4 linked regions of the Styela clava genome follow. The protein of the gene in region 2 purifies or fractionates together with the protein of the main gene of each other region. This does not show direct contact. Links are inferred from orthologs where the notes say so. Each region holds a gene or a part of one and is shown on either strand. Other genes may lie near its edges.

What was found.
Region 1: the proteins of cullin-5-like (region 2) and uncharacterized protein LOC120348408 purify together in Homo sapiens (affinity purification with mass spectrometry; 3 studies listed by BioGRID and IntAct, counting the BioPlex papers as one, with this or other methods). This does not show direct contact. The link is inferred for Styela clava from reciprocal best matches to the Homo sapiens genes CUL5 and ASB8.
Region 3: the proteins of cullin-5-like (region 2) and WD repeat and SOCS box-containing protein 1-like purify together in Homo sapiens (affinity purification with mass spectrometry; 4 studies listed by BioGRID and IntAct, counting the BioPlex papers as one, with this or other methods). This does not show direct contact. The link is inferred for Styela clava from reciprocal best matches to the Homo sapiens genes CUL5 and WSB1.
Region 4: the proteins of cullin-5-like (region 2) and ankyrin repeat and SOCS box protein 12-like purify together in Homo sapiens (affinity purification with mass spectrometry; 6 studies listed by BioGRID and IntAct, counting the BioPlex papers as one, with this or other methods). This does not show direct contact. The link is inferred for Styela clava from reciprocal best matches to the Homo sapiens genes CUL5 and ASB1.

Annotation. Positions count from the first base shown.
Region 1 is NC_135250.1:17,968,365-17,975,809, forward strand, and holds the start of uncharacterized protein LOC120348408, read right to left. Parts: upstream 3,024-7,445; 5' UTR 2,848-3,023; coding exon 2,665-2,847; intron 20-2,664; coding exon 1-19. Other genes in the region: uncharacterized protein LOC120348287, read right to left, coding at 6,381-6,541, 6,643-6,729, 6,996-7,073, 7,243-7,325, 7,415-7,445. UniProt on the Homo sapiens protein: May be a substrate-recognition component of a SCF-like ECS (Elongin-Cullin-SOCS-box protein) E3 ubiquitin-protein ligase complex which mediates the ubiquitination and subsequent proteasomal degradation of target proteins.
Region 2 is NC_135250.1:10,414,757-10,422,560, reverse strand, and holds the start of cullin-5-like, read left to right. Parts: upstream 1-4,799; 5' UTR 4,800-5,139; coding exon 5,140-5,154; intron 5,155-5,489; coding exon 5,490-5,585; intron 5,586-6,373; coding exon 6,374-6,487; intron 6,488-6,947; coding exon 6,948-7,127; intron 7,128-7,752; coding exon 7,753-7,804. UniProt on the Homo sapiens protein: Core component of multiple cullin-5-RING E3 ubiquitin-protein ligase complexes (ECS complexes, also named CRL5 complexes), which mediate the ubiquitination and subsequent proteasomal degradation of target proteins.
Region 3 is NC_135252.1:10,399,620-10,406,927, reverse strand, and holds the start of WD repeat and SOCS box-containing protein 1-like, read right to left. Parts: upstream 3,015-7,308; 5' UTR 2,919-3,014; coding exon 2,855-2,918; intron 2,408-2,854; coding exon 2,215-2,407; intron 1,863-2,214; coding exon 1,717-1,862; intron 1,167-1,716; coding exon 1,057-1,166; intron 944-1,056; coding exon 818-943; intron 1-817. UniProt on the Homo sapiens protein: Probable substrate-recognition component of a SCF-like ECS (Elongin-Cullin-SOCS-box protein) E3 ubiquitin ligase complex which mediates the ubiquitination and subsequent proteasomal degradation of target proteins.
Region 4 is NC_135252.1:8,869,875-8,876,790, forward strand, and holds the start of ankyrin repeat and SOCS box protein 12-like, read right to left. Parts: upstream 3,016-6,916; 5' UTR 2,933-3,015; coding exon 2,882-2,932; intron 2,436-2,881; coding exon 2,211-2,435; intron 1,773-2,210; coding exon 1,727-1,772; intron 1,293-1,726; coding exon 1,094-1,292; intron 410-1,093; coding exon 318-409; intron 161-317; coding exon 1-160. Other genes in the region: chymotrypsinogen A-like, read left to right, coding at 6,011-6,087, 6,784-6,824. UniProt on the Homo sapiens protein: Probable substrate-recognition component of a SCF-like ECS (Elongin-Cullin-SOCS-box protein) E3 ligase complex which mediates the ubiquitination and subsequent proteasomal degradation of target proteins.

The sequences.
Region 1 (7,445 bases), about 7.6 Mb from region 2:
TTCCATTGGGATCAGCTCCCTAAAAATAGTTTACATAAGTGAAAAAAACATTCTAATCTAGCAGTATTTTGCAATGATCTAGACATCTTTGATAAGATGAATATCAAATCTCAGTACTGCAGTAGGCTATGCTGGTATGAAGTTAAGAAACAGTATCCAGTTATTACAATTCCAGATAAGTATATTTGGGCAGTCAAAACACTTCAACCTGTTAATTATACCACATATCTCACGATTCTCACACTAGCACTGACATAGCAGAATGGCCAGACTTACTAACTTATTGATACAGTCAGGGGCGCAGCCAGGGGGGAGGTTACATGGGTCGTAACCCCCCCCCCCCCTTTGGAATCTTTTTTTTTTTTAATAGTGTTACGTTTACTTGCAATAATTTTATTCTTTGCGTTATCACTTTCGCCCAGCGTCCTAATTTATTATTTATGTTTACGATTCGTTATCTCTGTTACGCGGCAGTGGATCTAGCTGCCAGCGGGGGGTCACGGAAGTGACAATCTACACTAAACATTTTTAAATACAATTGTACTACCTTTCACTTGACACAAATAGCAACGGACGTATCACACTATTGCCGTCAAAACTATTCCACAAGCGCGCTCTCGCCTCGCCACATTCAACGCATCCATACTTTTAATCACATACGTTATCGTTGGTTATCGGCTTATCCCTAATTACGAATTTTAGTTATGTAGTGCATCTTTAACAAGCGATGGCACCAGGATCATAAGCAAATAACAGACAAAATGAATTATTGGAAATGTATGGTTCATTAACAAAGGATTGCCAAATGTGGCAGCATCGAAAAAAGGTGTCATAAAATAATATTCAATCTTCGAAAACAAAGCATTGCAAAATAATGTTCAATCTTCGAGTAAAAAGTATCGTAATATAATGTTCAATCTTCGGGATTTTTGGGTAGCAAACTCGTCCAAGACTCGTTTGGAATCGTCTGTCTGCGAAAAGCAGTTACATGCGTTGTCTTCCAGATCTTTTCAATAAACTGGTAACAATATGTTATTAAATTATATTTAAATTATTATAGTTAAATTATTGCTGAAAGTGAAGAATGCAGCAAATTCGCGACGATTTCACTTTCAGTAATATAGGTCTCGATGCATTGCAATAAAAATTAGAATTTATTAACAGTTAATTGCAACAAGCAAGAGTTTTACATTGAAAGACGTTCCCAATCAATACGATACATGAGCTTGTTTTTAAATGATTGTAATGTTTTATGAAGTTATAAATACGGGAACATCAAATATATTTATTTTGGAAATGGATTGATATTTCGTGACGCACTCTTATGAACCATTGGCATTTGGCAAATATCATTAATTTATGCTATTTCTTAATGTTTCATGATTGCTAATATTTCATTCTATTCTTATTTTACATTTTTTGCGGTATTTCAATTAAAATCATGACGATGGCATTTTATTTAACTGTTGACAATGGGGTAATAATCGGCGATTACTAAAAGGTTGAAATGGGACATGCCAAAACAAAATAAACGAATTGACGCCTGTCAAAGGGGGCAGGGTCTGGCGACAAATAGCCACATGTGTCGGTGTTTCTCTATCATCAGCATTTTCGGCATCACTTTGAAACTCTAAATCGCAAGGACACCCCGCGGAATGAAGACTTTCTTTCGCATAGGGAAATATTTGAATTACGATTGCTGAATAAGCGAAAAAAACAAATGCTTATTTTCTTGCTTGAAACAACGATAAACCAATTTAACCCTGTTGCCAAAAGTAATAGCATGCATTATTAACAAACTGGTAATAATATGTTGATAAATCGCCGCTAAAAGTAGAGAAGCGTTATGTGCAAATATCACAGGAATTTGAATTTGCGACGAATTCACTTTCAGTAATATAGTTAACGGCGCATTGAAATGAAAAGTTGATTGATTTTTTTTGACCAAAGAGAATGGTCGGCGATTGCTGAAAGTAGGACATGCAAAGAAAGGCTAATGAGACACAGCGACGCACATGTTGTTTTGCCATCGTCGGAACATCTTTTTAAAGACCTATAAACGCATTTTTATTTCACCGTAACCCCCCCCTAGAAAAAATCCTGGCTGCGCCCCTGGATACAGTAATAATGTTCTATTGTTTCATGTGCATTCATTCAAAATTGTTTACCAAACGAAAAATAGAAGGAAATGTTGTCTATATTCAGATATTCGGCCCGGCGGTGTGGCTCATCGTGCTAAGCATTAGGAATACGCTCGCCACCGCACCTCTGATTACTCTGCGTGGGTTCGCAGGTTCGAATCCCATGCGGAGATGATCATGTGCGAGAGGATTGCTGGACTCCTCGCCGCTGTTGGGTGGTTCACGTAACCGCTGGTCGGTTACGGCTTCCTCCATCATCAAGTCCATGCTTCTGTGCTTCCGAAAACAAGTAATTAACTAATCCCATACCAGACATGGAATGGTAACCGGACGAGAGGCCGTGGTTCGCCAAATGGATAAACCGTCTTATCGGCTTTTCTCTCCCCCGGGATAAATATGAAAATCCTATCCTATCCTACCGTTTGAAGGGCTATCCTATCCAAATGTTTCTTTTGCAGCTTAGTATAATACAAATCAATAAATTTGATGATTGAATCAACTGAATATGAAACAGAATGCTCACCTTGTCCAAATATTCCTTCACTCTTTCTGACAGAACTTTTTTCGGTGGCGGTAAGTCCAATCTTTCATAGCATGAATCATTATTCCGTAATATCTGATCTATCATTTCCTGTGTCAGGAGATATCGCGTTTGTAAGGCCTCCATTATGTGCCACATATCAACATAGCTATCCCTTGTTGTCATTTGAAAATTAATATTTCTTCGTTACAATCTTTCTAATTGCTCGCCCATGCATCTGCGCAGTTTATGATTACAGAATTATGAGCAAAATTCCATATTATTTATGTAAATTTGGACGGACGACATAGCTATTTTACGCCGACGACCCGTATGTCATTGTTTACATCCGACGCCGCTCTTTGGCGTCATCTTACGTTGTAGGAGTAGATCATTTACAATTTATGAGTGGAGTAAAGGAAAGGATAGGATTTACATATTTATCCCGGGGAGAGGAAAGCCGATAAGACGGCTTATCCATAGGGCGAACCACGGCCTCTCGTCCGGTTACCATTCCAAGTCGGGTATGGGATTAGTTTTACTGTATTGTTTGTTTTCGGAAGCATGGACTTGGTGGTGGAGGAAGCCGTAACCGACCAGCGGTTACGTGAACCACCCAACGACGGCGAGGAGTCCAGCAATCCTCTCGCACATAACCATCCCTGCATGGGATGCGAACCTGCGAACCCACGCAGAGTAATTAGAGGTGCGGTGGCGAGCGTATTCCTAACGCTTATCCACACCGCCACACCAGTGTGGACATTACCTCAACGAGTATAGACCAAAATACAGTATTGGGAATGGGAGCGTGTAGCGGTATCCACCCAATAAACGGAAGGATTGTGTGGGTGCCTGTTACCAATGACTACGTTAAGGTAACCATATCTGAAAAGACAAAATCCCTGACAAAATTTAAACCATGGTAATAATGCCATGGTATAAATTCGCGATGTATCCAAGTGCACAAGCTGCCGTCGCTTTCGCGTGAGAATAGAAAAATACAGAACAAAACGAATGGTGCAAAGTTGTTGCATTTCACTAAATCAACTGCATAATATTCGATACCAGTTTCCATAAAACTTTTAAAGGCAGCGGTGCAAGTACAGATGTCATGATCGCTTCCGTCTTTTTTCGGCACAAGAATTTTTTGTTCAAGTCAGAATTAGGGAACGTTTTTTAGCAAGTACAATCATACACAAAAAGCTGTTGTGATGCTTGTGTACGCATAAGCGCCCTCGACAGTTGTAACTACATCTCCTGTTTTACATCCTGTTGTGAGAAAATAATTCGTCACTTTAGTAGAAGAGGAATCTCCTCTCACTGCTAGATGTTATTTTGAATCCGGAAAACTTTGTAAAAAACCGAGATGTATGTTCCTGATTTACAAACTAGGCATTCTGCTTCTCATTCATTTCTGCCATTCCGAAAGCATGGGTGTCATGCCTTCATATCGTCAGTAAATTTACATTTTCGCTTTGTCATTTTCAACAGTACAAAATTGCAGCTTAATCTTCAGCACTAAACCATAGCACGGAGTAAAGTACAAGTAGCCTACCCGAGGTGCAACCTAAATACCGATTACAAAATGCTGACAAAAAAGGTCATATGTGAAATCAAAATTATCTAAATGCGATGCAATCCACGTTGCACAACAAAGCCTGCATGACATATGTCTGAAAAAATCGCTTTATTGGATTGGTGCGCAATATCTGAAAACCACTCGACTGGTTACCAGTACCGTACTAGTCTATATTGGGTATCTGATTAGCCAGCCAGTTATTCGTTTTCAGATGCACGAGCTTGATGGTGTGCATTTATAGGAAAGGGTTTACATATTTCTTCCGGGGGGAGTTGAAAGTCGATAAGACAGCTTAATCATATGACGAACCACAGCATCTCGCCGGTAACCGTACAAGTTCATGCCAGGTATGGGATTAGTCAGCCAGTTATTTGTTTTCAGATACATGGACTTGATGTTGGAAGCCGTATAACCTACTGCGGTTACGTGAACCACCCTACGGCGGCAATGGAGTCCAAAAAATATTCGAATTTGGACAACCCTACTAATAACAATACAACGATATTCAAATATAAGGACACTACCGTCAGGACGAAGGAGGCGAATAATGCGTGATGGATTTCGGCAGCAGTTCTCAAATTTTTTATTCGCGTGGCGCCAAATTATCAGGGAAAAAATCACCGCGCACTGATGTTTTCAAATAAAACTCAATTTTTGTGATCGTTAATTTGTGCCTTTGTTTGTAAACATGTAGGCCTAGAGAATAAAAGTCGAATTTCCCTTCTCATTTATGCCTGGTTCTCCTTTAAAATGCTAAAAAATTCATTGTATCAAGTGGTCTATCTCTATTGTTACGTAACAATAGAGGAAGACACTATATAACATAAAGTGTAAACGACATAGAAAGGTCAAATGAATTCATCGATTCATATACACAGCATTCAAAATAAGAAGCAATAAAACTTTTATAATTGATACAATATGTAAAGTGCTCAATCATATTTTAGTTATGTTTAACACATTCTGTTAATTTTCGCGGCGCACTTAGCAACTCTCCCCTCTTTCGCGTCGCACATTTTGGAAACCGCTGAATTAATTTAATGATTAGTAATTATTTTAGTCGACGATTCGTGAAACCGCAACAATAACTTATAGTGGGCGTGGCGTAACAATTTTTGCATATATATATCATTTCTAACCGCCACGTAACTACGTCATCCAAAACTTACGTAAGACAACATGCCAAAAGCAATACGAAGTAAGCTTGGGAGCATAAATGCTGACTCTCCGTCGGAGACCCCGCAAACGAGTGAGAAGAACGTTCTATATAAATTTATAGTTCAGTGCCTCGACCTGGCGGAAGCAAGATTATGTCGAGCAATTTGTTGCTAGCACTTCTCCTCACTTTGTATTGCTATGTCACCAAGATGTCTACTCTCATAAACCGAGTTTAATTTTGCATCGAACTTGCTAACAACAAGTTCACTCATTTCAGAAAACTTGCAGATCTAAAACTAGAACGGGTCGGCTGATATCACGACATTTCAAGAACGTATTCGCGGGAAGCCACCGAATCCCACCCATGTATATGCCGGTGCTAAAATCTGCGCGTGCAAATGTACTTGAGTGCAAACGTCAATGGGTGCAAGTGTAGGTGGATTCATAGATGATGGAAACTCTTTTTAGTACTGTAGGTCAGGGCTATTCAACTATTTTTACCGAAGATTCGCATACAAAACTTTAAAAATATTTGGGTCCGGACCTTCCAGAAATTATATTCCGGCATCCCTAAACACGCACTCTCTCGGCAGACTAAAATGAATATTAGCTATGTAAAATTGTTTATTATTGCGTTATAGTTTTTTTCATATATATTTAAACCTATAAAAGGGATTTTATAAAAGGATACTTCAAGAGTGGGGCTAATGATTCAAAATAAAGAATTAGTCGCTGTCCGAATCGAATACCCGAAAGGTCCGCCAGTTGAGTAGTCCTGCTGTAGGTTATGGTTTTCCATTATATTTATGAAACAGTACGACATTACTTTTTTGTAATATGATATCACATTTATTTGTGTGTGGTCATTGGCCGATGGATATTATGCAACAATATTATATTTCATGTCTATAACATGAATTGTAAAAGATATTAGTCAGAAGTCCATGTTTCGTACTTCAATACTCAATTTCATGAGTAGAAATTATTTTTCTTCGATTTCGTATTTTGTGAACCGTCTTCTGGTACAAAATCCTTCCCAGTGTGTAATAGGGGCTTCTCCGTGGTTGGAAAATACATTCCATATGTCCGCGACATCTTTTCCCGTTGGTTGCTTTTTCTTGTGCTTGACGAGGGCAATCAGATCTGAATGAAATGAATTGGAATGAATTAGCCGTTCTCATCCAGTATTATAGTTGAAGCAATACGTTTGGAAAGAGCTATCTATAATTTCTACATAGACTTACTAGAATCGGGAGCACATTTTGCCATAATGAAGTATTCATCATAGTCCGTAAGGAAGAAAAAATTTCCAGTCGACATCTTGTATATCACTAGAAAAAAATTTGAGATAGACAATTTTCTGAACATTTTAATTTGACTAAAATACTTCAACAAGTTCAGTTACAACTCTCATCTGCAAATACATAGAGTCAAAATAATAGAAGTTATTTCACCTATAATTCGCAAGATTGACAATCTTCATATTATTTACATATTTTACTATGATATACTATCAGATTCGTTTATTTGTCTTAGCTATTCTTGGCAGATTATTTGGTTTGATTAACAAATGTAAAGTTTGAATTTCGCCACTTACTAGCTTCCACTTTTTGAAGCCCAGTTACGTTGAGTTTATGCTTGAACGATTCTCTAGAACTTGCTGCCATCGATGGAACTGAAAAAGAGGTTTTCAGAATAAAGAAGTTTACTGGTTATGACAATTTGGATAATTGAGTGTTGTAGTGAATTTCATTGAGCAGTTAAAATATTATTTTGACCAGATATATACTCAATCAGTTTTATATATCGGAAACTAAGTTAAATTTAAACGAGTTCAAACTCACTGAGTTCAGGATTTGCAGTATACGTCCCATCTCCATTATCTATATAGTGAATCAAACTATCTAGTGAGTCTTCAGTTGCTCGGCTTAAAATAATATATGTATGTATAAGTTTTACTTTCATATGATAACAATTCTCATTTTTCATTATTATCAATTAAGCTCAATTGATTACCCTTCTACTTGTAGTGTCATTGTAAGAATGA
Region 2 (7,804 bases):
AGAGCGCAAAAAATCTCCCCCGATAATTGCCCGTGAAACATTGGCTAATGTGAATTTCCAGATAAAATTTCTAACGCATATAGTCAAAGGCACTTTTCGTGTGCCATATGTCGTAATTGAGGTGCCATTAGCTGCCAAAAGTGCTTGTCCTGGTCGCCCGTAACGACGGTCATGACTGGTGGCAGGCAGCACGCTGACTTGTGTACCCGTATCAACTAAAAAACTGCGTCCAGAGTTTTTGTCTGTGACGTAATAAAGGTTTGAATCGCCGACCGCCAAAGAGGTTACTGACGGTCGGCTATGGCGTTTTCCGAAACCACAAAAGAACATGGCGGGCGACATTTTTTGGCTTTCTTGCCGAATTTCCTGTGATAAAAACACATTTCAGACAAAACATGAGATGGTTTGAACGAACTGGTTTTTTGTACAGCGTTTGTCACCTCATAGCCTTTTGCAGTTAAAATATCATCTGCTTTCCTTGCCAGCTTCCGAAAATCGTCGCCCGTGGTTGTTAAAATGTCTGTAAGTTGAGACCGGACGTCTGGTGGCAGATGACTGACGAACAAATGGCGAAATAAGAAATCAGGTGTCTTACCTACTGGATACAATGCAAGCATGTTGTCCATAAGTTCCGTTGCCGTTCCATCCCCTAGTCCAGGCATTGAACAAAGGCGCGCAGCTCGTTCAGGATCCGTTAGCGAACATTTAGTAGTGAGCTTCTCTTTGAGATCTTGGTACTTGTTCGTTTCCGGCGGGTTATTGAGAACATTAAGAATGCTGGCAGCGGTATTGTCATCCAGAGCGGCAACCACGTAGTGGTATTTTGTTTCATCTGTTGTGATATTTCGAACAGCGAACTGCGCTTCGACTTGGTGGAACCAAACGGCAGGATTTTTAGTCCAGAAAATCGGCAGCTTTAATGATACCGCTGTTATGCCTACTTTGTTGTCTTCACTCATATTCTTCGTTATGTGCGTATTCTTTTCTCAAAAGTATGCTTATCACGTCGGGGTCACCATTTGAAGCGAACTAACTTCTTTCTAACAAGAAAAAGACTTTCAATTATGTTGATGTTTAATCCATAACAAAGCAATGTTAACGACAAGCGAACAGAAAACAGAATGACAAGTTATCGTAAGAAAAGCACGTAAGTAATCATGCGTGACAAAAACATAAACAAAACAATTGTGACTCATAACGGCTATTATTAGTTAAGTGGTTCGCCACACTGTATTATTTTATCCATGGGAACACTGGCTGTCCGGTTTGATTCTGTAAATTATTTCTATGCGAAACTCGGAATTTTTTGTGGGTACCGGTGGCGTCAAAGGTAAATACTGCTTCGCCATCGCTACCGGTATTTGTTTTTCGAAATCATGGACTGCTTGCTTGGTGTCAGTATATTTGTAGACTGTGGTATGTCTTGTAGACCAGTACCGGTATGTAGACCAAGTATGTACCGGTATGTAGACCGTAACTAGACCAATACGGTTATTCAGTTATTGTATTATAAACAGGAAACATGTAAAATATTTTATTCCTAATACCGTACTGGTAACTGCGTTGTCTTAGTTCTAACACCGGTACCATACGCTGTTACCCCGTACCGGTAAGTGCCGAACACTGGAATATATTAAATGTCAGAATGCCTGGTACCGGTAGTGAAATGAATTTCCTTTACCAGATTTGGCTACTTCGGACGAAAACCAAAATTTGTACCGGTATCCGAATACTGGAATATATCAAATGTCAGAATGCCTAGTAGTTATAACTTTGCAAATGCTGATACTGTGTTATGTCAGTATTTGTCAAGCCCAATGTTTTCAAAGATAGAGAAGTTCTGTTAGCGCGGTGACACTGAACTAACTAGCTGTCAAAAGCTTGAAAATCCATACAAATATAAGAGATAAAAAGATGAACTTTGGCAGGTGGGTAGAGTTGTGTTTCTTTTAACCATCTTTAAAGGTTTCGCGTTTTTACATTAAAAGGAGGGAGAATAGGGGGGAGCGCATTTCCAATACGTCGATGATATCTTTGTCAACCAATTTGCGACCACGATGTTTTTGTCTGTTTGATTCCTGTGATGTGGTGCGTTGTTTATACAGGTACTGGTAAGTCACCGAATATGATTTTTCGGAGAATTGTTCCGCGTGTCCATATATTTGAGCATTGCTCTCTTGTTTATTATCAGCAGCGACAGCGAAAAATATATACTGCGATAGACTTTCCTGGAACACAACCTAGTGCCCATGTTTAAATGAGGGAACATTTCTTACAAATAATATTGTTACATGTAGTGAGTTATTTGACTCCGAGTTATATGACGATGGTAGCGCGCGATCTTCACGTGTTTTCGTATTTAGTTTTCACAGATGAGCTGAATGGAGTCGGAAATTCCGTAGAGTTCCAGATCGACGGCTGTGAGGGGAATTCCGATGCATATTTATATAGTGAAAGTGACTATTTACCGTTCCACGAAATACTGGATATTGATGTTAGTGGATAATCTGGACGCGACGAGCATCTCGGACAGTACCAATGAAGAAGACGAGCATCACCTAACCGAGAAAAGAGACGGCATCCAATGCCTTTATTAGCTATTTGAATTATCCGTCCTGTGGTTGCCTTGGTTATCTGCCTGTTGGCGCTCGGAGTCGTTTTCTTCTAGTGATACCGGAAATATCCGGTCTCGCAAATATATTCATATGCTATTTGTGTTAGTATTTTTACTCTTATCATGATTCAATGATTTTTTCATTTTTACTTTTGTATAATTTAATGCTAGACTATTTCATTTCACGGGTGTCACTGCTCGATAACCACTTCTGGTTTATCGCGACTCCTTTTACCGCGGAATGCAACTTTTCATCTTTTTTCCTGACCTCGTATGTAAAAAGTGTATTTTCGATGTGATGATAAAATAAACTACTGATTACTGAGTGTATGGTGAAAAGAAACGAAATAAAGAAAAAAACAGGGGGCCACTGGAAAATAATATGGAATCTGGAAAAGGAAGAATTGGCCCAATCATCAACCAGGGCCTCCATGTGGATCTCATTCTTAGCAAAGTCAAATACCGATGTAACGTTGTGAATGAATATCAAAGCCTTGCTATTTTCATTAAATTTTGGTCAATGACGACTTGCACTGAACTCAAAATATTTATAAATACGCTGGTTGAGACACATGCGGTTAAGCATCTGACCATCCGGTATATCTAGACCAGTCTGCAAAGATATGTTCGCATCTACGTTTTTGCCTTGCAGAACTCAACTGTCTTGGATTAAACATAAAATCTCTTTTAACGTATGAGCTGTTGTTCAGGCATACCCGAAAAGTGGAAAGTGTGCAAAAGTAAGCGAAAGGTCAATTTCACACTATATGATGCAAAATCAAAAGCAGGTACTGTAACGTCTGGAATGAAACTGAAGGCAATCTGTCCAATAAATTATTTGCTTACTTGCAGTTTAAGCATTTCAAGGAATCATTTGTAATATTCCCGAGCTGAAGCATATCATAATTTGGAACGATGGATGCGGTTACCAAAATAAGAATACCACGGTAGCCAATGCATATTCTAGTCTAACAAGAACTTACAACATAAATATGGAGCAAAAATGTTTGGTGGCTGGACACGCACATATGGAATGTGACTCAATGCACATCGTCATTGAACGTATATAAGATCGTAGAAGACATTTTTACTGAACAAGATTTAATCGTACTTATGGAATCCGCATGAATCAATCCATCACCCCCGCCAAATGGAGCACACTGATTTCAAAAGAATGAATCAGTTGTTCCCTCAGTTGATTTCAAAAGAATGAATCAGTTGTTCCTTCAAAGCATTAGATCCGGTAAGAGAGCAGAATTGGCTGCCATCATTTTTAGGATAACCTCACGAGTAGATTATACAAACTTTAATGAAATATACAATGAATTCATGTAATGAAGTTGTTTGTTAATGTTTTAAGTTCAAAGTAAGTTGATGATGTTTTGATTCTATAATATTGTTAGAGTTGTGAAATTTTATATTCTTCGTGTAAATTGAATAAAATACATCCGGTCTGGGGGTAACATATTTATTTAATGAAATTATTCTCTCATTATTTTTTCATCATTGCCGAATGGACCTAAACAACGTATATAGGTCAAGCGAATGCACGTAGAAAATATGGAATGAAGATGCGATTAATATTGCCTAACACTGGGTGTGGGAATGAAAAAATGCGGTACTTAATTTTTCGCATATGAAAATTTTTTTAGAAATTATATATATTCCAAAATATTAAAAAATTTGATAAAATGAATCTATATAAAAGAATTTTGAAAATGATTGAAAAATGAGAAAGTTATGAAGTTTTATTTCATTTACTCAAAATGTGGAAATATGACTTGGGCCATTCAATAGGCTGGCGATATGCACTCTTTGCGTCCATACATCGGATGTTCCGATACTCCATCATTGCAATTTTACCGAAATATTGGCGGTTGGCATAACATACTTGGCGCCAGAAACACGTTAGCTTTTGCACTTTTGACTACCCTTCACGGATACTCAAGTTCCAATAATCAATGTGCAAGAGAATTACTTGATTCCTTGACTTGAATTACTTGACGACATCTAACCGACTTCTTCCAAAATCAAATCCATGTATCTGAATGTTAAGACTGTCACCAATTACTACCTCTGACTTTTTGGCAATTCCCATAATCTGGTAAAAATTAGTTTTGAATCGCCAAAGAGCTGTGAAATTCACATGTCATTTATTCTTGCCTTGTGATGTTTGATTGTAAACGCATGTGTAACATCATCTGTGACTCTGTGAAAGCAGGATATGTCTGTCACATTTGCCTCGTACTTTTAAATACAATATCTCGAGCTATAATTCCGAGCCATTCTTATACATTCATTACAACGGTTATAATATTCTACTTTCGCTATATTTTGTTTATCTCCGCTTGGTCGCATTTGTATCAGCTGTTAGCTAGTCACCTCAGCCGCATCTCGCAGCTAGGATCGTACAACTGCTGCGGAGATCAGCAATAGGCCTTCAGGCGTCGCCGCATAGTTTACTCTGGGACTTCACCGTTCAGAGATCTGAATTAGTTGGTTTGGAAAAATCATAAAGCTGAAGGATGGCGATGCTTCAGGTATGTTAGATATATCTGTATATACTGATATTTGAAGGACTAAAGTCTGGAAGTTAATACTGCAATGACAGAATATTTTCACTTTGATTATTATAAATTTACACAGAACTGTGTTCGGTATTTTTGAAGGATTTCAGTATCTCTGTATGATACCGGTACAGTATATCGTTTCTGCATGCTATATATTTATGTGATAAGTTTGGGATACTGGGATATCTGAATTAGGATAGGATTTAAATTAACCTATTTATCCCGATTGAATCACCAGTAAAATGTTATTTTTGCATTTATCCATATATTCTCAATTGTTGTTGATGTTAAAATTTTTGTTTCAGGGAAATTCAAAAACATTTGATAACAAATGGCCGAAGATGCAACCAATTGTTCTCAAATTATTGGGACAAGAACCAGTTTCAAAAGAGGAATGGCAGGTAGAATAGATGTTTACAATTATCAACTTAAATTTAGCAGAACTAGGCCTACAATGTCAATAGACATGCCCTGTATCTTTATGTAAGGTTACATACATATATTAAGTTACGAGAATAACATACAGTTACTGGCTTAACTCAATCTACAAACATGTGGTCCAGTAATACGTTTTGGTTTACATTGGTAGTTTTGTGTGATATAGATTGAAGGTTCAAACTGAAAGTGAGATTTGACTTACTATGAGTTTACTCACATCTATATTGAGATTTTAGCTATTATGAAACTTATTTATGAAAAATGTTTTTAAAGTAATATTTGTTTAAACATTAGGATTATACTTGGAAATACAACCTGAATCATCATATTGATATTTCTAGACACTTCGGAAGCATGTCTCCTCAAAAAATTATAGTAGGCCTACTATAAAACGCTGTTATTCATATGCCAAGTTTCAGCTCATTATCTCTATGACTTCTTGCTGTTGATGATTTTTCTTTATATTTCATCGCCAGCTCTTATGCTGTTTCCTTCTTTTAGCAAATTTTATTGAGATTTCATGGAAAGCTAGATGGCAAGTGGAGGTGGTGGTTAATTGATAATATTTCTTCTCTATTTTTTGAACATGTTAAGGTTATTCAAGTTATTGTACGCAATTGGCTGAACTGGCCTGTGTTTTGTGCAAATCTTTCTTCCAATGTATCGAATCTTAATTTACAAAAATTTATATTTATGTTTAATCATGTTTTGGGACAATGGAGTACAAGAACATATTCTTTATTTTGTTTAGGATTTGTTTTACGACGTTCACACTGTATGTCTGTGGGATGAAGATAAAGGAGTGGCCCAAGTACATGAGGCTCTCAAAAATATAATTTCTAATTTTATAAAGAATGCAAAGATGGTAAACCGATTTTTTTACTTGAAGAATTGTCGATAAGATGAATTATTTAGGAAGATATGTCCAAACCAAATCGAATATTTATATCAATTCCAATTTTATTAAGCAATTGAAATCTTCCAGTGTGATCAAAATTTATTTCATCTTTTCTGCATTTCAAATGCAAATTATTGAATGTAAACTAACTTCTATGTGCTCTTTGCTGTACATAACCCAATTTAGAAAAATTTCAAAGATTTAGTATTAGAATATACTATTTAAGAATGTATCAGAACTAGTAGAATACACATTTTTTGCCAACCTCCGTGATTAGGTTATATTACTATAGTTATGTGATTGTGTAGAAAAAAATACATTCAAGTCAAATATTAGATTAAGTAAAATTTGTGAGTAATTTTACTCTGTCATTATGGATTTGAATAAAATTTTCTATTCTTACATCAAATATTTTTTTATTGTTTAGAAAGTAAAAATGAATGATGACAATTCTGCTCTCTTGAAAGCTTATATTTCGGTTTGGACAAAGTTTTTTGAACAATGTCTATATCTACCGCCTGCTTTCAGCACTCTTGAAAAATCACTTGAAAGTTCCGATAACAATTTGGGAATGAAGAAAAACGAGTCCAGAAATATTATTAGGAAGGTTGTATGGATTTATGATGTTACTAGTATAATAAGACACTCTTCTCTCTAAACGAGGCTCTGCACGAGTAGCCATTGTTAGGTGCTATTATAGTTTGGAAGGACTGGTTCAGTTTGTGACAACATGGGTGAGGTGGTTGTTCTCAGGATTTGAACCAAAGATTTTAACCTGCAATGACATCATAGTTATGTCTAATGTTTTAAAAACAAGGCCACTGCACCCATGTTATGTTTTACTTTTAGTTCTAAAGGTTGGATCATTAAAAATAGAGATAGTTGACTTACTCGGTTAAATGTTAGGAAAACTCTCACCTTCACAGGGACTCACTCGCGTTCTGATTTTGAAGGATGGTCCTTTTGTTGAACTGCCTTACGTCATATAGTGTTTACATAATGACTAAACAGATTTGATTTCTTACACCAACCAGATTCCCACATCTAGTATGGTATTATTACTATCAGACTGATGAATTATAGTAAGGATATATTTAGCAACATAGTTAATCATCATTTTAGCTTTCCCTCTGTCGCAAAATAGCTACAAAACCTATTGTTTATATATACTTATCTTATGTTGCTCTAAAATGTATCTGATATCAAATTTAATTTCATGTTTGATTTTTCAGTTGATGCTAGATAGTTGGAATGAACATGTTTTCTGTGATATTCGTCATCGAC
Region 3 (7,308 bases), on a different chromosome or scaffold from region 2:
TTTGGTGATAAAGTTGATAAAGGAAAATCAAAGCTAATACAAATAATAAAAATCAGAATAAAATTATTTTGAATTCACTCCTTGATATTTGTCTTTAACATCTGTCTCCGGCGTGTGGTACTGCCGGGAATATGAAAACCAAACTTCGATGTCCCATTCGGAATAGAAGTGGATTAAATTGGTTGGTATGCTAGGTTTAAATGTGTGAAAAAAATATCGCAATTACGGGGTCATTACGTAATCGATTTGGCCGTAATTACGGAATTGATTTTTGTCAATTACGTGCAAGCCTAACTGGTGCAGAAGTTTTGAAGAAAAAAACTTGTCTTCAAACTCATGACCCAATTACAATCTATAATATGAGTCGAAACGCAATTAGAAAAATTCAATTTATTTTTGAAATTCTTAATTAAATGTGGACATACAAGAAGTAATTTTTAGGAAATATACTGATATTTTGTGGTGAAATTATTTCACGTTGCACTACTGCACCACGACACACATTCTAGGACCACTGGACTAGTTTATTGTGCCAATATAAGTCGACTTAAATTTATTGATCAATCTTTGACAACTTTTTACAGCATATTCTAACAGGTTCGCAACACAATGAAAGTCCGATTATTATACAAATTTACTCGGTAAATTCTAATTAAAAAAGGCATTAAAAAAATATTATTCAAAATCATCAGCAGAAAACAATTCTATATAAAATAGCATTCAGATGAATTTCTTCAGACATATTTTAATAGTCAAAGAACACTGTCATCTTAAATTCTATTCTACAAAGGTAATTTAGGTAAATAAACAAACTCACACAGCTTCCTTTTCCAACTGAACAAATCAGAGATGGATCAACAGGAGAAAAAGCACAATCAAACACTGATAATGGATGTCCTGTTATTGTTAAAGTCATGTTGCCATCGTCAGCTAAATCCCATACCTTATTTATAAGACATGAAAAAATTGCAATGAAAAAAACATACAGAAGAAAGAACGATTGAGTTATATTCAAAAATTCACGTAAGTTATAAATATCAACTGATAATAGTTTACCTTCAAAGTCTTATCTAGCGAGCATGATATAAGAAGTGGTTCCCCGAGTAAAGCAAAAGATAATGCTTTTACATCGAAATGATGATCTGACAAATTATACATCATTTCACCTAAAAAAAAAATGGTGAAAGGTTCAATAGAATATCAAAGGAACAGTGAGCCAGTCTTAGATGCTCAATGGAGAACACAATCAGATAAAAACTGTTGGACTCTCACTTAAAATCAGCCCGGGAGCATAGTCGAAACATGCAAGATAATACTGTTCATTACATAAATTACATTCTAAAGAGTATCATGAAGTCGGCAGGATAATCAATCGAAAGATTTTTATCGAGCCATATTTTTGGGGTTACGACCTTCACCAACAGGCCACAGCCCTGGGATATTGCTTGATAGGGTCCTCATTGTTGCGCTGAATAGCCCTAATTTCATTATCCTGATGTGCCAATGGTCCGGGCATGAAACACTGTGATAAAACTATACATATCATATTGATGCACAGGAAATTTTCCTTTGTACTGATTGATATTTCCAATTGAAGAAAGGGAAATTAAAACCAACCATTCATGCTGGGTTTACGGGGCTGAAAATATGAGAGAAAATGCCTGAACCCTCAACTAATTAATATAAAAAGTCACTGACTAATCATGGGTATATCACCTGTAAAAGGGTTCCATAATTTGATTCTTCCACAGTCCAGCCCAGTTGCCAAAAGATACTTAACATTTTCATTTACGTCACATCTCAAAGGACCAAACTTTAATGTTACGACCTTCTTTGCACAGTCAATTGTCAGTTCAGAGTTACTAAAAAAGTGGCATAATTTGACATATTTTAGTAGCATAATTTTATCTATCAATATGTGGCATAATTTTTTCTATCAGTATGGGTGACAAAAAGAGATCTTTAGATTTTTTAATAAGGTACTTCCATCAAATTAAAAAAAATCTTTTTATTGATTATTCATTTGAATACTTCTACAAAAATTAAAGAACACTTTAGCTTCTGTTTGTGTGTGATTATACCCAAACATTTCAGTAAATTAGTACACTTTGCAAAAAAGCTTTTTTTGAAATATGTTTCAAATGACAAGGGTTCTGTTTATTGAGTCACCCTGTATATACATATTCAGAGAAGCAGATACTTCGCTGAACGTACTTTGATAACAAACTATCTTCTGATGCATTCCTGTTTGCGATGGGTGCAAACCAGCAAACTTTTACAAATCCATGTGCAATAGACCAAGCTAGTAATTTTCCATCCGGTGAAAATGCACAACAATGTGTTTCTCCAGCATCTCCAAGTCTGCGATGTGATGGACCAATAAAACTTCTGGACTCTTGGATATCATCTAAAAATAAATCGAAATTAATCAGGTTTTTGCTTCAGAATTGGTATAAAAAACATCAATCACACGCTTATGTTGTTATCGCTCCCTACAGCTGTACAGCCGCTGTCAAGTGATCAAATATTGCGTTTCATGCTAAAAACCCTAGAACGCACATAATTTTGTTGATAATCCAATGGTACCGGTATCGTTTTCAGATTGTGCGTCCTTTTACTTTGATAAAAATACACTACCGGTACTGAAGTAGAATAGACTAATAAGATCTAGTTCTGTAGTTCCTACTGCAGTACTGTCAGAACAGCGGAATGTAGTCCAGTAGTGAATTACTTTATGGTACCAGTATTGATGATTTCAACAAGTAGCACTAAAAGACTAATAATAGTGACTAGTACAATATTTTTTTTCAAATTTTTCAGTAGTTGAATCAGCAAACAAAAAAAAATTAATCACCTAGGTCAGCATCTCCATCCACAAGTTTAATTTTTAAAAAGTTGTCCAGCTTTAGTTCATTCATTAATAATAAGGTTTTGATAATTACGGTACTGAATAGAAAATAAAAGGGTGAAAGGGGGGCTCAGTCAAAAAAAAAATAAAAAATGATAGCAAGCCGAAGGGCGCCGACGACTGAAAACAATATAATGTAACCTGAGTCAAGAACAGGTAAAGTAAACTGTAGCTGGTGAACATATCATAATTTTCAAAATTAACCAACTAAGTTTCAAACACTCCTTGACTACTTCGACTCGACGACAATCAAAAGGAGAACTCTATGAATGAGTTCTGGAGTAAACAAGGTATACCACTGTGAAGTGAGTCGCACGGTGACCTTTGTGCGCAACCAAGCAAAAAGTTCAAATATCATAGCAGAATTGCAGGCGGGAGTAAATACCCATGCGCATAATTCGGAAAATGAAAGTAAAAAAACAAAATAAAGATATTCTTATGTATCTGACTTGAAATAATAGTAGCGTCTAAAAAAATATTTAAAGTGCGAATCATCAAGCAACAACTTATAAATATGAGTTGAAAACTACAACAGTACGGCACGAGAAAGTACTTTAAAAAAAGATTGCTGAAAGGTAATACCGAAGTACCTCGCAAGTTAAACTAAACTTTATTGACATTTCTTTATACAGAAAGAATACCAACATTTTCAACAACAAAAAATATAAATATGCTATATTGTACAACTAGGAATTTTTGAGAACAATCCAATATATCAATACAATATATCCGAAATACATTGCTGGAAATGATATAGTTGTATCAAATAGCCATAATTAAATCATTTGGTATTACACCTTTTCAACCCATTTCGCCCAACTGGGGTGAGATATTATTATTTGATATTGCTAAAGTTCTAAAAGTCTACACAATACAACTTGAGTCGATGGGTACAAAATTTTAAAATTATGCGTAATCGATTGCTGAAAAGTGCCTATTTCTCAAATAATGGCATAGGTGAAAAACCGTGAAAATACACACTTTTCAAACGTTAGTCACATCGCTTTCCGCCCAAGTGGGGAGAGATTTTATTATTTTATATTGATTAGGTTCTAAAAGTCTACACAAAACAACTTGATTCGACGGGTACAAATTTTTAAAATTATGCGTAATCCATTGCAGAAAAGTGCCTATTTCTCAAATAATGGCATAGGTGAAAATCGTAAAAATACACACTTTTCAAACGTTAGTCACATCGCTTTCCGCCCAAGTGGGGAGAGATTTTATTATTTTATATTGATAAGGTTCTAAAAGTCTACACAAAACAACTTGAGTCCATGGGTACAAAATTTTAAAATTATGCGTAATCCATTGCTGAAAAGTGCCTATTTCTCAAATATCGGCATAGGTCAAAAATCGTAAATATATACACTTTTAAAACGTTAGTCAAATCGCTTTCCGCCAAAGTGGGGAGAGATTTTATTATTTGATATTGAGGAGGTTTTAAAAGTCTACACAAAACAACTTGAGTCGATGGGTACAAAATTTTAAAATTATGCGTAATCTATTGCTGAAAAGTGCCTATTTCTAAAATGATGGTATAGGTGAAAAATCGTAAAAATACACACTTTTCAAACGTTAGTCACATCGCTTTCCGCCCAAGTGGGGAGAGATTTTATTATTTGATATTGATTAAGTTCTAAAAGTCTACACAAAAAAACTTGAGTCGATGGGTACAAAATTTTAAAATTATGCGTAATCCATTGCTGAAAAGTGCCTATTTCTCAAATAATGGCATAGGTCAAAAATCGTAAATATATACACTTTTCAAACGTTAGTCACATTGCTTTCCGCCCAAGTGGGGAGAGATTTTATTATTTGATATTGATTAGGTTCTAAAAGTCTACACAAAACAACTTGAGTCGATGGGTACAAAATTTTAAAATTATGCGTAATCCATTGCTGAAAAGTGCCTATTTCTCAAATAATGGCAGAGGTGAAAAATCGTAAAAATACACACCTTTCCAAACGTTAATCACATCGCTTTCCACCCAAGTGGGGAGATATTTCATTATTTTATATTGATAAGGTTCTAAAAGTCTACACAAAACAACTTGAGTCCATGGGTACAAAATTTTAAAATTATGCGTAATCCATTGCTGAAAAGTGCCTATTTCTCAAATATCGGCATAGGTCAAAAATCGTAAATATATACACTTTTCAAACGTTAGTCACATCGCTTTCCGCCCAAGTGGGGAGAGATTTTATTATTTTATATTGATTAGGTTCTAAAAGTCTACACAAAACAACTTGAGTCGATGGGTACAAATTTTTAAAATTATGCGTAATCCATTGCTGAAAAGTGCCTATTTCTCAAATAATGGCATAGGTCAAAAATCGTAAATATATACACTTTTCAAACGTTAGTCACATCGCTTTCCGCCCAAGTGGGGAGAGATTTTATTATTTGATATTGATTAGGTTCTAAAAGTCTACACAAAACAACTTGAGTCGATGGGTACAAAATTTTAAAATTATGCGTAATCCATTGCTGAAAAGTGCCTATTTCTCAAATAATGGCATAGGTCAAAAATCGTAAATATATACACTTTTCAAGCGTTAGTCACGTCGCTTTCCGCCCAAGCGGGGAGAGATTTTATTATTTTATATTGATTAGGTTCTAAAAGACTACACAAAAAAACTTGAGTCGATGGGTACAAATTTTTAAAATTATGCGTAATCCATTGCTGAAAAGTGCCTATTTCTCAAATAATGGCATTGGTGAAAAATCGTAAAAATACACACTTTTCAAACGTTAGTCACATCGCTTTCCGCCCAAGTGGGGAGAGATTTTATTATTTTATATTGATAAGGTTCTAAAAGTCTACACAAAACAACTTGAGTCGATGGGTACAAAATTTTAAAATTATGCGTAATTCATTGCTGAAAAGTGCCTATTTCTCAAATATCAGCATAGGTCAAAAATCGTAAATATATACATTTTTAAAACGTTAGTTACATCGCTTTCCGCCCAAGTGGGGAGAGATTTTATTATTTGATATTGAGGAGGTTCTAAAAGTCTACACAAAACAACTTGAGTCGATGGGTACAAAATTTTAAAATTATGCGTAATCCATTGCTGAAAAGTGCCTATTTCTCAAATAATGGTATAGGAGAAAAATCGTAAAAATACACACCTTTCAAACGTTAGTCACATCGTTTTCCGCCCAAGTGGGGAGAGATTTTATTATTTTATATTGATAAGGTTCTAAAAGTCTACACAAAACAACTTGAGTCGATGGGTACAAAATTTTAAAATTATGCGTAATTCATTGCTGAAAAGTGCCTATTTCTCAAATATCGGCATAGGTCAAAAATCGTAAATATATACATTTTTAAAACGTTAGTTACATCGCTTTCCGCCCAAGTGGGGAGAGATTTTATTATTTGATATTGATTAGGTTCTAAAAGTCTACACAAAACAACTTGAGTCGATGGGTACAAAATTTTAAAATTATGCGTAATCCATTGCTGAAAAGTGCCTATTTCTCAAATATCGGCATAGGTCAAAAATCGTAAATATATACACTTTTCAAACGTTAGTCACATCGCTTTCCGCCCAAGTGGGGAGAGATTTTATTATTTGATATTGATTAGGTTCTGAAAGTCTACACAAAACAACTTTAGTCGATGGGTACAAAATTTCAAAATTATGCGTAATCCATTGCTGAAAAGTGCCTATTTCTCAAATATCGGCATGGGTCAAAAATGGTAAATATATACACTTTTCCAACATTAGTCACATCGCTTTCCGCCCAAGTGGGGAGAGATTTTATTATTTGATATTGATTAGGTTCTAAAAGTCTACACAAAACAACTTGAGTCGATGGGTACAAAATTTTAAAATTATGCGTAATCCATTGCTGAAAAGTGCCTATTTCACAAATAATGGCATAGGTGAAAAATCTTAAAATACACACTTTCCAAACGTTAGTCACATCGCTTTCCGCCCAAGTGGGGAGAGATTTTATTATTTTATATTGATAAGGTTCTAAAAGTCTACACAAAACAACTTGAGTGTATGGGTACAAAATTTTAAAATTATGCGTAATCCATTGCTGAAAAGTGCCTATTTCTCAAATATCGGCATAGGTCAAAAATCGTAAATATATACACTTTTCAAACGTTAGTCACATCGCTTTCCGCCCAAGTGGGGAGAGATTTTATTATTTGATATTGATCAGGTTCTGAAAGTCTACACAAAACAACTTGAGTCGATGGGTACAAAATTTTAAAATTATGCGTAATCCATTGCTGAAAAGTGCCTATTTCTCAAATAATGGCATTGGTGAAAAATTGTAAAAATACACACTTTCCAAACGTTAGTCACATCGCTTTCCGCCCAAGTGGGGAGAGATTTTATTATTTTATATTGATAAGGTTCTAAATGTCTACACAAA
Region 4 (6,916 bases), on a different chromosome or scaffold from region 2:
ACGTACAGATTATTGCCTCGATTCTCTTCCGTATCAGAATATTTTCCGTTCACATCCGCCCCGTATTCAATTAACAACCGTAAAACGTTTGGATAATTAGATCTTGCGGCCATGTGAATTGGCGAGCATATATTTTCCGTGCTACCCTCAGGGTTGGCTCCTAGTAAAATATATTTTAGGTGAAGATAACAGTATTATAATATATGCTTGTGATGTGCATATATATATATATAAAGAAAACATATAAATTCCACGGAAACAAAAAATAATTTAACTAAAATAAATTATGTTCTATCAAAAAAACATTGAAAACTTACCTGCTTTTAAAAGTACACTGACGCATTCGGTTTTATTATATTTTGATGCTGCAAGCAATGGAGTCTGTCCTTTGATATCGGGTATCTCTAAACTAAAATACATGAGAATTACTTAATTTAGATAATTAGCCAACATGACAGATCATGTTGTCTATGTTTCACATGCTAACATACGTTGATTTCAGGTAATTTAGAGTTTAGACGAACTTTATTTGAGTTGATTTCTGTGGCTAGACCAGTGTATTAAGCCATAAATACATATTGGTACTTGTATGGTATATATAAAAAGTTCTTGAAAAATTGTAATAGGTATACCACGGTGAAAAAGGTAGACTATAGTATCACGCGTGTTGTCCATTCCCAGCGCAGGTACTATTCGAATATTCCATTTTTTTTCATGAAATTTCTGCTCACAAGCCAATCTATCTAAACCGGTAATGCAATGCGAGAAGCAATGCAAAATATTCAACAACGACGTAAGAGTAAGTGCTTAACGATAAAATTCAGGACTATAGGAAATTCCGAAAAAGGAAGTAGCGCAAACAAGAGTTTGTCACAACACTTAATGGAGTTTTATCACAATTATACCAAGCATTGATATGAAATATACTTGTGTCCATTTGTTCTGCGATATTGTAGCGGTAACACAAAGTATACAGATATACAAGATCAATTACACAGTATCAAACTCCGCGCAAAGAATCTGTATTCACTCGACCTCGTGGCATTCTCTCTTGTCATTGCATCTTTCAGTTATAAGATACTTTTTCACTTACTCTGCCCCACACTCGCATAATGCTTCAACTGTTTCAGTGTGTCCTAACGAAGCTGCAATCCAGAGAGCTGTTGCGCCGAGTCTATTTCTGCAGTTGAGCAATTTTTTTGAAGCTTCCAAACCAGCATCTGTAACTTCATCTTCATATTTTTCATGAGCAAAGCGAAGAAAGGGAAATTTTTTTAACACATTTAGTCCAGCTGAAAACAATAGCATGCTTTTAATTTCATCTAGAAATATTTTACAGCATATAGTTTTATGACATAGTTTATCATGTACTTGTTCAAAACACACAAAGTACTTATAACAAGAGAGTAATAGGACGATATATGACGTGATGGAGAATTTTTCAAAATGATACACCATTGATCTACATTCTACATCCAACAGCAAGGAGTCAATTATAGTATCTAAAAGTTAAATCCCTCGGGGTAATACTCACAGAGTGTTTTGATAGGATAGATGAATGAAACAATCCAATGTAACTTGAATGTTGTGTACCCAACAGTCTCTTATACGCTATATACGGTAATTAGTATGGTTCTGATGGAGCCAAATTTTATGTATGCCAATATATCATAATATCATAATTCCATAGCCCTAACATTATAGTGGATTTTGAAGAGATACTGACCTATGTCTCTTTTCTTTATAGGTTTGCCAGATAACAATCGACGTGTCTGTAATATGATGCGTTTAAATTAAATGAACTTCTTCAACTATACATATAAAATTGATATCACGCAGAACGTAAGAAGGTAGAAAGACTTGAATATGTTATAAATATGATACACTATGATTTTATCAAATCGCCTCTGGTAAGATTTTAGTTTGAAAATGCTGAAGAAATAAGTTTTCAAACAAAGTAAAAAATACTACATCCATACTACAGCATTTTAGTCTCATACGACCAGTATCAGTAAAAGTAAGAATTTTCTTGAAACTTCCTTACTATAAGATAAAATATCCTCTCATAGTAATCGTCAATGTGTGGAAATTGGTCTGTATATGGATGTATATGAGTATTGCAATCTTATACTTTCGGATACTCTATCTTTAGCAAGTAATCATTAATTATTGCAATTCGTATCCAAAAACAGAACTTCATGTTCTCACACCTCCTCAGCATCGCCCCTCCTTGCAGCCGTGTGTAATTTTGAATCTTCACCTTCTGTGATTCCGCCGAAAACACCGGAAAGGGATTTCACAAGGTCAACTCGGAGTGGAAGTATGGGTGATTGTTCATTTGTTTCTGTACTATTGACGCCACCAGCATTTCCAGATATACCGAGGCTTGCATTTTGAACACTTGAAGTAGAATCCACATTAGGATTATTGGCAACCTGCATTTAAAAAGCATTTTTGGATGGAATATATCAAAGAACTGTGTGGCATATCCAGTCCAGTATGAGAATAATTTGAAGGACTTCTGAATTCTGATGGCGACTTAACCCAGCCATTTCCGCCACTTTGTCAAGGGTGCAATGATTCAAGTAGTTGAACCGTGAAGATCTGAGTAGTTCCAACGGTAGTAGGCACTTATATATCAATGCGTTTTCAAGATGCGGAAGATTTTATAAAGTTATATCAAGCTTTTTGGAATTTCAGTAGATTGCATGGTACAGAAACAGAAGTTCTATAGTGGTACAGTGATAACAGTCGCGTCAAAACAATAGAAAAGTGAGGGGAAGATTTTTTATTACAAATAGTCATTTTATGTTTGCAAGAGTCTTTAAAGCATGGTTTGTTGAACTAAAATAAGAAATTTCAAATAAGAGTAGCAAAATACCTGATTAGTGATTGAAATCTCTCCATCTTCATTAAAATTATTTGGAGTCATGACTTTTTTATTAAAACTAAAGATTTTTGTAAGTAAAAATCAATGAACTGAAAAAGACATATGGATATTATTGTCAACATTTTTAGTGGGAGTGATTTTCATTAAACGTGGTTAGCCTGAATTTGATTTATTTTTCGCTATCGTTAGTCTATACTTGACCTGTCAACTCTATCACTTCGCAGATTTGATAGATTTGAAAGTCCTGTTTGTGGTGATCCTTCAAATACTTACTCGTTTGGCACAAAGTAGGTATAATATGTATTGTATCAACTGTCAAACGTCTAACTAATCTTTTACTTCAAACTGAAACGTATCTTATCCAAACTACTGGTGACAGAACAAGATTACACTCGGAAATTTAGAATTAAAAACGCAATGAACACATCGTTTCATCTGATAAGATTTGTCATCAAGAAAATTTGGCATACACATCCAATCACATATTTTAACTGCGGTAAGGATGATAAAGACTTTCTCTGACATCAGACGAATTTTGACTTTTTAATTACAAAACACAAATAAAAAATAATGCATCGTGAATTATATTGCACTTCAAATATTGCTTTCTCCGAGTTTTCGTACTGATCTGTAAGGTCCCAAGCAAAATCCTGCGTTTTCTATAAGAAACAAATTTCAATGATCTGATAGTATATGTTCTTGCTGTCCTATAACTAACTCAGTGAATGCTACTGGCAAATATCTGATTACCTATTCAAGTTGAAAGTTTTGAATGTCCACATGAATGTTTCTCGTCTCTACTTATTGGTAGATTACTCGCCGTGTGACAACAACTGGCTCTTTGTGATAAGACGAAGTGCTAAATGAGCACCATGTACATTAAGTTCTCTATATTGAAAAATAGATCTTATTTACTTGTATTTTAAAGTTGCACTTAATTAAATTTTATTTTAACATAAGGTATAATCTTTATGAACGAATAATGTAATCGTAAAAGGTTTTTATGCGCCCGATACTTGATAGATGAAAAATTCGGACGGCATTGTAAACATATAAATCATCATATTTACATACATACGCAAGTAAAATCACTGAAAATTTTCTGCAGTATAAATTATAATATACACCAGGGGAATTCGCTGCTTGCATCTTCTGTGCGTTCATGCATGATGGGTGCGATTGCCCTGTTTCGCGCTTATAGCTCGTGGATCGTCGTTCCGAAAGAGCAGCTGCGGCTTGCGAGTGGTAAATTTTCGCACAATACACGTTTATTACTGGTATAACAGGATGTATAATAAGAAAACTATTATTTCAGCACTATGAAAAAGTTTCAGTTGATGGTTTGTGGATAATTAAAAAAATTGCATAAAAACTTTGATATATACATGATCATTCATGATTAACTGACGAACTAAATGCAAATGTGCTTATAATCATGCCCACTTTGAAAAGTTTTGTTACATTTATTAAAATTCAAAAATTTGTACATTTATTAATTGTAGAAACTCATTATATTCAAATGAGTCCGAGCAATGGTACTCCCGTAGTGTGTGTACCAGATGAAGGTTAGACCATAATTTGATTCCGGTTTTCCTCATTTTAGTTATATTTTGAGTTAATATATACCCCCTGCCCATAGATTTCAGTCCCTTTACACAACTTAAAGTAAAGTAGGCGAACAAAATGAGTTACCTTCGCATTGGTACCTATACTACTGGAGAGCCCGAGCAACGACATGACAGGGTATCGGGTAGAATGAAATAAGATAAACTTGTACTGGATACAAATACTTTATGGAATGTTGACTTTCTTTGCGGAGAATGAGGAAATCGCAGTTAGAAACGATGAGATAAATGCATGCAAAATATATGGGGGGTGTGATTCGATCAACATTTTTAAGAGAACTTGGTTTTTAGACTTTGCTGGATACAATAACCGAATGCTTTGAATCTGACAGATTTCAGTGCAGTTTACCAACGTCTTACGTTCACGGTTTAAATACTTTTTATCTCGCTGAATTCACAAGTATAAGAACAAAAAAGGACAGCAATTGTATACGAATTCACTTGGTTATTTGTGAGGAGTTTTATAAATAACGAGGCCTCAAAAAGAGCAATTTGAAAAATAGCAACGAGAGTGAGTGATGGCGTTTGATGATCATTGATTTAGGTAACAAAAGTCTCCACTCTGAAGTTTCTCAAAAATTCCAATATAAACACAGAGATAATATGGTAATGCCGTTGATTATCTCAAGAACAAAATTCAAATGGGTTCAGATCAGTAATTTTTAGCCCAAATACGCAGAAATATTATGATAATACTCAAATGTGCGGTTTTAATGGAAATATATTTCAATCCGAGAAAAAAAAATTTACATATCTCCAATAAAATTGAATATTTTCCCAACCACGATGATAATATAAGCAAATTTAACCACTTTGAATTAAAAACGACTCGATGCCGGATATGATAGTGGTTTGATATGTTGCAACCTTGCCCGCACGTCATTCAAATGCAATTGAAAATACCATGTTTTCATAGTACAAATTGCGTAAATAGACATAGGAAAATGAATATAATGTAATTTCTCAAAACTGTATCTGTAGAATTTTTGGTTTATTATTGCACAGACGACGATAAGCAAATTTATATCAAAGATTTAAAAATATTTTTTTTTAATTTTTGGAAAAATTTCACATCACTCTATAAAAGACTCGTCTTTTGGAATCTATAGTCACATCTCGGTGTGTGTGTCTTTACAACTTCAAGAAATTCTGAAGGCCGGTTGAATCAGAATCGGACGAGTTCTTTGTGTTACAAGGTAAGTTCGTTGGCCTGTTTTCGTTTGCGAACTGAGTGTTTTTAATCTGACGTGAATTCAATTCACTTTTGACCTGATTTGCACAATTTTTCCCACGTTTTCTGGCCCCATCCATGCACGTTTCCGGAGCACGTTTCACTCAATATGCAAGATTGTGTCTGATTTGGCGGCAGACGATGAAAGGTAACTGACTTGATTGACCGCCTGTCAAACATTTGGCTTACATGGAAGTAGTCCTCCTAGTATTTGTTTGACAATTTCCTGCATTACTTCCAGGAACCATTTACAGAGAATATACAATGGATTGGTCGTTTTTGATAATATTGGTAACTAGTGTTTTTTTCGTGAACATGTCCAATGGACAACCACGGCCAGGGTAAGTAAGTGTTTTATTGTTAGCAAACGACAGAGTTGTTGTTCGTGTGTTGAATATAGCGTTACCGTCTTCGTAAGAATTTACAGCCATTCAACATTTTTAATTTGACGTTCAAGATGTTTATGTCTTCGCTGTAGTAGGAAAAAATGGCTGCGAGTATGCTGTAGAGATTCTAACCTTTTTAAAAGTAACATCCAGGAAATTTTTTTCGGAGAACTAAATTGAGTACTAAAAACGTAACTTTGAAACGTTTGGATAGGGTTCTAGGTCCAAGTCAGAGGTGGGCAAGGTTTTTGGTCCAAGGGCAAGAATTTTGCCCATCTAGGCTGGCGAGCAAGTGTGACGTAACAATGTGACACAGTGTTTACAAAGGCAAAAGTGGAAAACAATAAGCCTCGTGCCAAAACTAAATTTAATCGCAATTTCAACAAATTCCTTGAGTTCTTTTTAGCTAAAACATCAAAATTTGGTTTTAGTTTGGTTGTCGCAGCATCACGCGGGTCAAATTGAATTACCCAACAGGCCGGATTTGGCCCGCGGGCGTTAGTTTGCCTATTTCAGGTCTAAGTGATTACCTTTGACTCATGTAAATCTGTATATTAAGCAGCCCTTTTTTTTATTGGAAATAAAAATTTGGAGTAAAATATTATCCACGGCAATATTTATTTAAAATGTTGAATTTGTACTGTTTTTCAGATATAAGCAAGCAGTAAATCCACTTCCTGCTTACCTCGAACGTAAGTTTATACGACTAGAATTTGCGCAAAACTAACTCATTGTAATTTCTCAGACATAGTGATTGTCACATTGGATATAGTAGGGCGGGGGA